2 linked regions of the Macaca fascicularis genome follow. The protein of the gene in region 1 interacts with the protein of each later gene in a pairwise test. Links are inferred from orthologs where the notes say so. Each region holds a gene or a part of one and is shown in the gene's direction. Other genes may lie near its edges.

Region 1 (4,592 bases):
TGTGTGACCTGGCCCAAGTACGCTATGTTTTTCTGGAAATGGGCTAGGGCTATTTGGTACTGGAATTTGAACGACTGGGTACTCAGAGTATGGTTGCAAGGTGGATGTGGGTTTGGGGTTGGCAAGTGCACTTAGTCCCTCAGACTTCTTGTCCCATGGGGAAGAGGACCAGAGGGGAACTCTAAAGTGATGATGTGGGCTGCTTTGCCTATGGAGTAGCCATTCTTTATTCCTTTACTTTCTTAATAAACGTACTTTCACTTTGAAAAAATAAAATAAAAATCAAGTAAGGTCTGGAAGCAGAAGCCCGTATTGCTCAGATAGCAGGACAATATTGAGAAAATCTCAAAGAAAAGCAGGAGACATCAAGCAAGGGATAAGAAAGCAACTTAAAAATGCTGGAGGTCTACTGCATGATAAGACAACGAGTATTGTGGGACTCCAAGACCCTGGGTCACTGTAGGATTCTTAGTCTCTCTATACTTCAGAAAGGAGCAAGCAATTTTTAGTTGCTCCTCAATACAACAACCCTATGTAATGGGCATTTTGTTACTATTTTAATGGATAAACAACCTTATGGTTCAAAAAGTAAAAGATGTAACGAAATCTACTTCTTTACGGCGGTACAGTTATCATCCCCATTTCACACGAGGAGAAACTGAGGTAAATGAATGGTAAACCAACTTGCTTGGGCACAAGTGAGAGGTAGCAGAGCTGGGCTTGTTATTGCCACACAGAAATGTTACCATCTGATAATTAAACCTTTCTTTTTCTAAACAAAACTGCAAGTGCCTACAAATGGGTCTGTTTAATAAAAGGCCTCACCTATCAGGTGGGCTCAGACGGTGACCCTCCTCATCCTCCAGCCTCTTGGGGAAGCCAGATGTCTGCGCTCCCCAGCACCTATATAAAGCCAGCTTTCTTTCTTCTTTTCTTTTTTTTTCAAGACGGAGTCTCGCTCTGTCGCCCAGGCTGGAGTGCAGTGGCGATCTCGGGTCACTGCAACCTCCGCCTCCAGGGTTCAAGCGATTCTGCTGCCTCAGCCTCCTAAGTAGCTGGGACTACAGGCGCCTGCCACCACGCCCGGCTAATTTTTCTATTTTTAGTAGAGATGCGGTTTTACCATGTTGGCCAGGATAGTCTCGATCTCCTGACCTCGTGATCCACCCGCCTCGGCCTCCCAAATGCTGGGATTACAGGCGTGAGCCACTGCGCGCGGCCAAAGCCATCTTTAGCAGGGGCTGAGACCTGGGCACCAAGAAGAAACCCAACTAAACACTAGGGGCCTGGGCCCGGCAGTCGCGGAAGATTGTAGGCCCGGAGCGTGTGGCACCATCTGCTTTTGTGACCAGTCCCCTAGGCTAGAGCTTCGGCGCGACCCGCCCAAGGGAGAGTGGCGGAGCCTCCCAGGCCTTTCTAGAGAAAGCAGCCCGGGCCCCGAGGCCACGAAATCTTGTCACACACTATAAGCGCGGGCCAAGCCCCGCCCCCCGAGCCGCCTCTTCCGCTCGCGCCGGGGTGGGGTCTACGCGGCCGCCGGGATCCGCTCGGACGCGGCCACGTTGTCTTGCGCGCTTTGCGCGCCTGGCCCTGGGATCCTGACCCTTGGCTACCCGTTCCTGCCCCAGTAACGTGGCCGCGAGTCTCTGTGAGCCGGCTGTATTCCCGCACTCGCTCAGGGGGCACAGGCGCAGGGATCGGCCCGGCCACTCTGAGCCTTCGGTGCGCGGGCGCGTCTGGGATACGGGCCCGGGAGGCACCGCCCTCCGTCCGCCCGGTGCCTCCCAGGAACAGCGAACGGGAGAGAGCGCCGGAGAGTTGGGCTCCGTGCAGAGCTCGGCGCCGGGGCCCATGCCCGTGAGCCCCCGCAGGCCCGCGCCATGGCCTCCGGGAGCGTGGCCGAGTGCCTGCAGCAGGAGACCACCTGCCCCGTGTGCCTGCAGTACTTCGCAGAGCCCATGATGCTCGACTGCGGCCATAACATCTGTTGCGCGTGCCTCGCCCGCTGCTGGGGCACGGCAGAGACTAACGTGTCGTGCCCGCAGTGCCGGGAGACCTTCCCGCAGAGGCACATGCGGCCCAACCGGCACCTGGCCAACGTGACCCAGCTGGTGAAGCAGCTGCGCACCGAGCGGCCGTCGGGGCCCGGCGGCGAGATGGGCGTGTGCGAGAAACACCGCGAGCCCCTGAAGCTCTACTGCGAGGAGGACCAGATGCCCATCTGCGTGGTGTGCGACCGCTCCCGCGAGCACCGCGGCCACAGCGTGCTGCCGCTCGAGGAGGCAGTGGAGGGCTTCAAGGTGAGGGCGCGGATCCGGGAGGGCGGGAACGCGAGTCGGACAAAGGGAGGAGAGAGCCAAAGGGGCTTCCCTTTTTCCGCCTAGAAAATGGCTGAGCCGGACGTGTGGTTCACAGCCGTCATTTCCTCTCTGTCCGCTCCAGAGCCTCAGCACTCAGATTTGGAGGAAAACCTGTAGCTGGCGAGGGAGCCAGAAGTCTCCCCACCCCCACTCTCCTTTCTCTGTGTGCCCCCATGTTTCCTGTCTCACGGACACATTGTACACGGAGACATGCTTTTGACAGTATAAAAGAAGTGCATAAAATCGCTTGCACATCGACGAGCTGTAGAGACACATGTACTCTCGTCGGCTGTCAGACAAAACGCAGTCGGACATTAACTGACCGATGCCCATTCCTTGGTCTATAAGCATTTCCCCAGCACTTTCCTGCAATACGTCCTGGTCTAGAAACTCACAGAAAAGAACAGGCTCTTCACTGCTTAAGTCATTTAACCACTCTGAGACTCAGGAGATAACAGTTATGAGGAAGATTATGGAATCATGTGATGCACAGAGCCCTCTGTGAACTGGCACAGCTAAACAGAAACGTGGAAACAAAATATTACATATAAAACAGTTGTAAGGTGACCTTCAAGGAGTCCATGATACTGTGTATTTTCTGTATGTTGAGGGCTTCAGGAATTCATACACAATTATGTCCGTGTTTAAATATGAATACATTCATGTGTAATTAATCACTTAACATTTATGGACCTTTCAGCTATATTCTTTCACTTACTCTGGTGAGAACTCTTGAGTAGGTTGGGAAGATGGTGTTTGCCCATTTCACACATGAGGGAAATAAGAAGTCACTTTCACAGTATGCTTGTGTGGAAGAGCTACAATACAACATAACTCTAAGCCTCCTACTCCAGTCACAGTTCCGCTAAGTCATGCGATATCCTACCAGGGACAGGTAGATGATTCATTGTTTAAGATAGACACAAATAATCCTGACGAGGTAGCTGAGTGGTTGAAGCGACAGGCTGCTAAGATAGACACAAATTGCCAAATGAGTGGCTTGTTGGCCCCTGCGCCCTGAGTCTTTCTCTTGTGGGTGGCAGTGTGGCCTGAGAACAAGTGCCAACTGGATACTTGGCATCAGGTGTGTGGACTCCATGTGTGATTAGAAGTACCATGCTGATGCTAAGGTCTACCTAGTTTTGAACTGCCCATCTGTTTTGCTTTTCTCAGGAGCAAATCCAGAACCAGCTTGACCATTTAAAAAGAGTGAAAGATTTAAAGAAGAGACGTCGGGCCCAAGGGGAACAGGCACGAGCTGAACTCTTGGTAAGGGTTGTTGGAATTCACAGTCGCTTCTGCTGGTGCTCCCCTCTTCTGTAGAGCTGATGTTACTTCCCTTAGACTTGTCCAGCATGTCACCCAGAACCTGTAGGTAGAGGGGGATCAACTGCACATGGCAGTGGGAACTCACCCAGAGAACTAAGAGATTCCCTTTCTTTTGGGGAAAGCGTGGAGGAGCCAAGTTTGGAACCCTTGGAAATCAGACCTGTCAGTATAGTTTAACCTGCTAACTGCGTAGACCAAGGTTGATCCTTGGCAAAGCTGAGATGGGTAAAATTATTGGATACAGTTAGCTTGCGTTGTTACCATTCTTCAGACAAGTGCTAATAGTGGATTTGTGTAAGTCCCACTGTTGCTTCTCTTTGTGTTATTCTCCTTTCTTGACAATGCCTTAATTCTGAATTTTTTGCTCTGCTCTCTTCCTCCAATCTCTCAAGGCCTCGACAAGTGGCTGATGTATTAATTTATGATAGGGGTATATGGGAATTTTTTCTTTTTATTTCCGACAGGGTCTCACTCTGTCACCCAGGCTGGAGTGCAATGGCAAGGTTTCGACTCACTGCAACCTCTGCCTCACATTTCAAGTGATTCTCCCACCTCAGCCTCCCAGGTAGCTGAGGCTACAGGCATGTACCAACACACCCAGCTGATTTTTGTATTTTTAGTAGAGATGGGGTTTCACCATATTGACCAGGCAGGTCTCGAATTCCTGACCTCAAGTGATCCACCTGCCTTGGCCTTCCAAAGTGCTGGGATTACAGGTGTGAGCCACTGCACCTAACTGGGAATTTTGTTTTGAAAAGAAAAAAAAAAACAAGGCAGGGCATGGGGGGGGGGTGGCGGCTCACACCTGTAATCCCAGCACTCTGGGAGGCTGAGGTGGGCGGATCACCTGAGGTCAGGAGTTGAAGACCAGCCTGGCCATGGTGAAACCCCGTCTGTACTAAA
Region 2 (4,492 bases), on another chromosome or scaffold:
CACCATGTTGGCCAAGCTGGTCTCGAACTCCTGACCTCAGGTGATCCACCCACCTCGGCCTCCCAAAGTGTTAGGATTACAGGCATGAGCCACTGCACCCGGCCACCATGACTGTATTTTTAAAAAGTGTGTTTTTATGTTTTTTTGTGATTATATAATACAAAACATTCATACTGTAGAAAATTTGGAAAATTCAGAAACACAGAAAAGTGAAAGAAGAAAAAAATGTCACTTGTAATCTACTCAGAGAAAAACCACAGTGAAATTTCATCTTTCCCTGAATGCAAATATATATTTATAATATTCACATTGTACAGTATGTGGCATGTCTTTATAATTGTTTTTTTTTTTTGTTTCTTTAGTTGGGTATGTTTTGGCATTTGGTGTTTTTGGCCCTCAGGTATAGGTTGAATCAGACCCACCCATTAGTTCATGGCACATCGTCCTCGTGGGTCCTGTCAAGTCCTCTCACTGGTTTTAGTTTTTGTTTTTTGTTTTTTTTGCCTCTCCACCTCCTGCAAGAGGCACTCACTCTAATGAATTCAATATATGGCTTTAAATATGTCTGTAAAATGTTTCAATATACGTGATGAACTTGTGCTATATCTTCTTCAAGCAGTCCTCCCACCTCAGCCTACCCAGTAGCTTGTTCTTATTTTCCCTGGTACCATGTTTTTTAGGATCTATCTAAATTGCTGTATTAAAATCTAGTTCGCCGGGCGCGGTGGCTCAAGCCTGTAATCCCAGCACTTTGGGAGGCCGAGGCGGGCGGATCACGAGGTCAGGAGATCGAGACCATCCTGGCTAACACGGTGAAACCCCGTCTCTACTAAAAATACAAAAAGAAATTAGCCGGGCGTGGTGGCGGGCGCCTGTAGTCCCAGCTACTCCGGAGGCTGAGGCAGGAGAATGGCGGGAACCCGGGAGGCGGAGCTTGCAGTGAGCCGAGATCGCGCCACTGCACTCCAGTCTGGGCGACAGAGCGAGACTCCGTCTCAAAAAAAAAAAAAAAAAAAATCTAGTTCATTGCTTCTGCCTCTACATGTAGTTTTATAACTTACTTTTTTGCTTCATATTATATCACATGATGAAATAATATTTTCCTGAAAGTTTTCCATGCCATTAAACAGCCTTATGAGAACACTCTTTGAAATAAGTGCATAATAGTTGTGTTCCAGGAGCCTTTTAAAACATTTTCACCTGCCCATTGGCTCAGGTGAGGATTTAGGGAAATTGACTGGATAACTTATGACATCTAGATTTGGAATGCTGTGATTCTTAACCACTTGCTTTAGATGTGAAGCTTGGACTTTCTCCTTCTTTTGAATCACCATATTTGGCAAATACATTGTTGGCAACAAATTACAATAACACCTGGTAATATCTGTTTGGCCTCTTTCTTCTCACAAGCTCAAAGCTGTACCGGATGTTATCTTACCTGGTTTTGAGGCAGCCTGTAAGGCAGGGTGTGGTAGGGAGTGTACTTACTGCCTCACAGATAAAGAAATGAAGGCCCACAGGACTTCATTTCTTCATTGTCACCCACAGGATGATAATGCAGAGACTGGGACCCTGTCTCCCTCCTCCCAGCCGAGAGCTCTGAGCTCTGGTTTGAAGGCGTTGCTGCTTCCCACTGTGCAAGATTGGGAGAGATTTTTCTGTCAAACTCACAGGGAGTTCGTAATCGAAGTGTCTGGTGCCTGTGCAGCAGAGACGGGGGCGAGACCCTACGTGTTAGCTCATCCCTAACCACCAGCCCACGGTTGGGTGTGTCTGGGAGAGACTGAGCAGTTACCTCGATGAGACACCGTTTTCCACATCGAATCAGATTCCTGGACTCATTGCATGCTTTTGCCATAAACCTGTCCATCCATCAGTAACCCTTTATATGCTGCTCTCCGTGCCAAAAGCTGAGAATGGTAAAGGATGTGCTTTTGGACCACTCCCTTTGTGATGGGTGCGACATAGTCCCTGTCCTGTGGGAACTGTAGTCCAAAGGGGAACATGGTCTCTGCTCTCAGACAGTTGTAGGCGGATAGAGGGAAATAGGACACACACGTAGAGACAGCAGCCACATAGTCGCCAAGAAATCAATCAGTGGATACATAAGTGAAATACTACTGAGCATGTCCTAAAATAATTGGGTGTTTTGAGGCTAGCAGGGTTCTTTAGGGTATGAAAGGACAATGTTTCATTGAATAACTCAGAATTCCTGGCTGCCTAAGGTAACTCTCCCCTTGTGTGACGACAGTTCTTTTGTGAGGGTGGTCTGGACGAGATGGTCCAAACCAGTGTGTGCCTGGGAGGGGACTTTTATTACTGAGTCAGAAACTTGATGGCTTCCTCTTCCCTTCCTCGCTCTGGCTGTAGGTGGACACCTGTATAAATGAGGATGTTGAGAGCTTGAGGAAGACTGTGCAGGACTTACTGGCCAAGCTTCAGGAGGCCGAGCGGCAACACCAGTCAGACCGTGTGGCTTTTGAGGTGAGATTTGGGATTTGGGGAGAAGGTACCCTAAGGGATGGGCTACCGAACACAGGTGCCAGTGATGTCTCAGCTTGGACTTCCTGTCTCTCTGGCTGAGTGCCACAAACTGGAAAACAAGACTGTGAAGCCTGGAACGCTTGTCTGCTTCTCCCTCTCCTGGACGTTTATACTGTTTACTGTCCAAGGCCGGCCCATAGTTCAAAGGTCAGCTTGGGATTCTCTGTTCTGATGAATTTGAGGGTGGTGCCCATCTGGGGCAGCCAGTGATTCAGAAGTCATTTCTGTCTGTGTCGTGGTAAGAATCCCTGGGCTCTTGAGACTCTGTGCAGGCAAGGACTGCTGTTGGCATGTCACCCCCGCGTCCCTAGTGTCTGGCGCAATACCTGGTATTAGATAGGCGCTTCATAAACGTGGACTGGATGAGTGACTAAATCTGTGTTGTTGTAGAAAGAACTGCACCCATCGAGTTGGAGGATTTGGGCTCTAGACTCAGCTTTGCAGAGCTTTGTGGTCTAGAATGAGTATCTTTTTTTCACTCTGCCACCAAGCTGGAGTGCAGTGGCACAATCTTGGCTCACTGCAAGTTTCGCCTCCCAGGTTCAAGCGATTCTCCTGCCTCAGCCTCCCAAGTAGCTGGGATTACAGGCACGTGCCACCATGCCCAGCTAATTTTTGTGTTTTTATTAGAGACGGGGTTTCACCATGTTGGCCAGGCTGGTCTCGATCTCCTGACCTTGTGATCCACCTGCCTCAGCCTCCCAAAGTGCTGGGATTACAGGCGTGAGCCACCGCGCCCGGCCTGGAATGAGTATATTAATTACTGTTATAGTACAGAAGTCTATAAATGGAGAGTAAAGCCCCCTACTATATGTGAGGTCTTCCATGTTTTCTAGAAAATTCTTTGAGTATAAAACAAGGTACATGGGCAGTTTCCTTCCTCCCTTCCTCCCTTCTCTTCCCTTCCCTTCCCTCCCCTTCCCTCCCCTCCCCTCCCCTCCCTTCCCCTCCCCTCTCCTCCCCTCCCTTCCTTTCCTTTCCTTTCTTGACAGGGTCCCACTCTGTTGCCAGGCTTGAGTGCAGTGGCCCAATCTTGGCTCAATGCAACCTTCCCTCCCCTCCCCTCCCCTCCCCTCCCCTCCCCTCCCCTCCCCTCCCCTCCCCTCCCTTCCTTTCCTTTCCTTTCCTTTCTTGACAGGGTCCCACTCTGTTGCCAGGCTTGAGTGCAGTGGCACAATCTTGGCTCAATGCAACCTCCACCTCCCAGACTCAAGCCATCTCCCACCTCAGCCTCCTGAGTAGTTGGGACAACAGGTGCACACCACCATGCTTGTCTAATTTTTGTGCCTTTTGTAGAGACAGGGTCTTGTCATGTTGTCCAGGCTGGTCTCAAACTCCTAGGCTCAAGCAGTCTGCGTGCCTCGGCCTCCCAAAGTGTGGGGATTACAGGCATGAGCCACCACACCTGGCCCATGGGCAGTTTTCCAACTGCTCTGTGTGAAGTTAACCATTTGTTACCTGCTTTTGTTCTTCCACAAGTAACATATTCTTTGTGTCATAAATATGTTATGATAGGGTTATATCCTGCATAGGCATGCTGGGAGCTGGTAAAAAGAGAAACGCCAGCCTGAACTCTTCATTTTCATGGAACTGAGGAGGAGAATTTTTGAGAGGAGGCTTGGGGGTGAGGAGGAAGGGCACCAAGGATGATAAACTGTGTTAGCCGAAGTCTTATTAGAACAAGTAGTTTAACCTCTCTGAGCATCTGTTTCAACTTTTGGAAAAAGGGTTAATGAAATACACCTTACAAGTTTGTTGTGTAGATCGAGTGAGGTAATATATGTGAGGGCACTTGATTATTCTGAAGGGTTTTAGAAATATAAAATTGTCTATATTTTTCTTAGCAATCAGTTTAACAAGGAGATTTTCCTATTGTAAATAGCTTGGACTTAGGGTAATATTAAAATTAGTTTGTCATCTCAGAACAAAGGAGCTGTGTGGTGAAGGG

Evidence for each region. The genes of interacting proteins can lie anywhere in the genome.
Region 2: the proteins of TRIM27 (region 1) and TUFT1 interact in binary tests that used the Homo sapiens proteins (3 or more experiments, as listed by UniProt). The two-hybrid records come from large-scale screens. The link is inferred for Macaca fascicularis from reciprocal best matches to the Homo sapiens genes TRIM27 and TUFT1.

The regions. Positions count from the first base shown.
Region 1 is NC_088378.1:144,252,485-144,257,076, forward strand, and holds the start of TRIM27 (zinc finger protein RFP), read left to right. Parts: upstream 1-1,529; 5' UTR 1,530-1,880; coding exon 1,881-2,300; intron 2,301-3,533; coding exon 3,534-3,629; intron 3,630-4,592. UniProt on the Homo sapiens protein: E3 ubiquitin-protein ligase that mediates ubiquitination of various substrates and thereby plays a role in diffent processes including proliferation, innate immunity, apoptosis, immune response or autophagy.
Region 2 is NC_088375.1:109,639,616-109,644,107, reverse strand, and holds part of TUFT1 (tuftelin), read left to right. Parts: intron 1-1,809; exon of another isoform or gene 1,810-1,916; coding exon of another isoform or gene 1,917-1,919; intron 1,920-2,370; coding exon 2,371-2,484; intron 2,485-4,492. UniProt on the Homo sapiens protein: Involved in the structural organization of the epidermis. Involved in the mineralization and structural organization of enamel.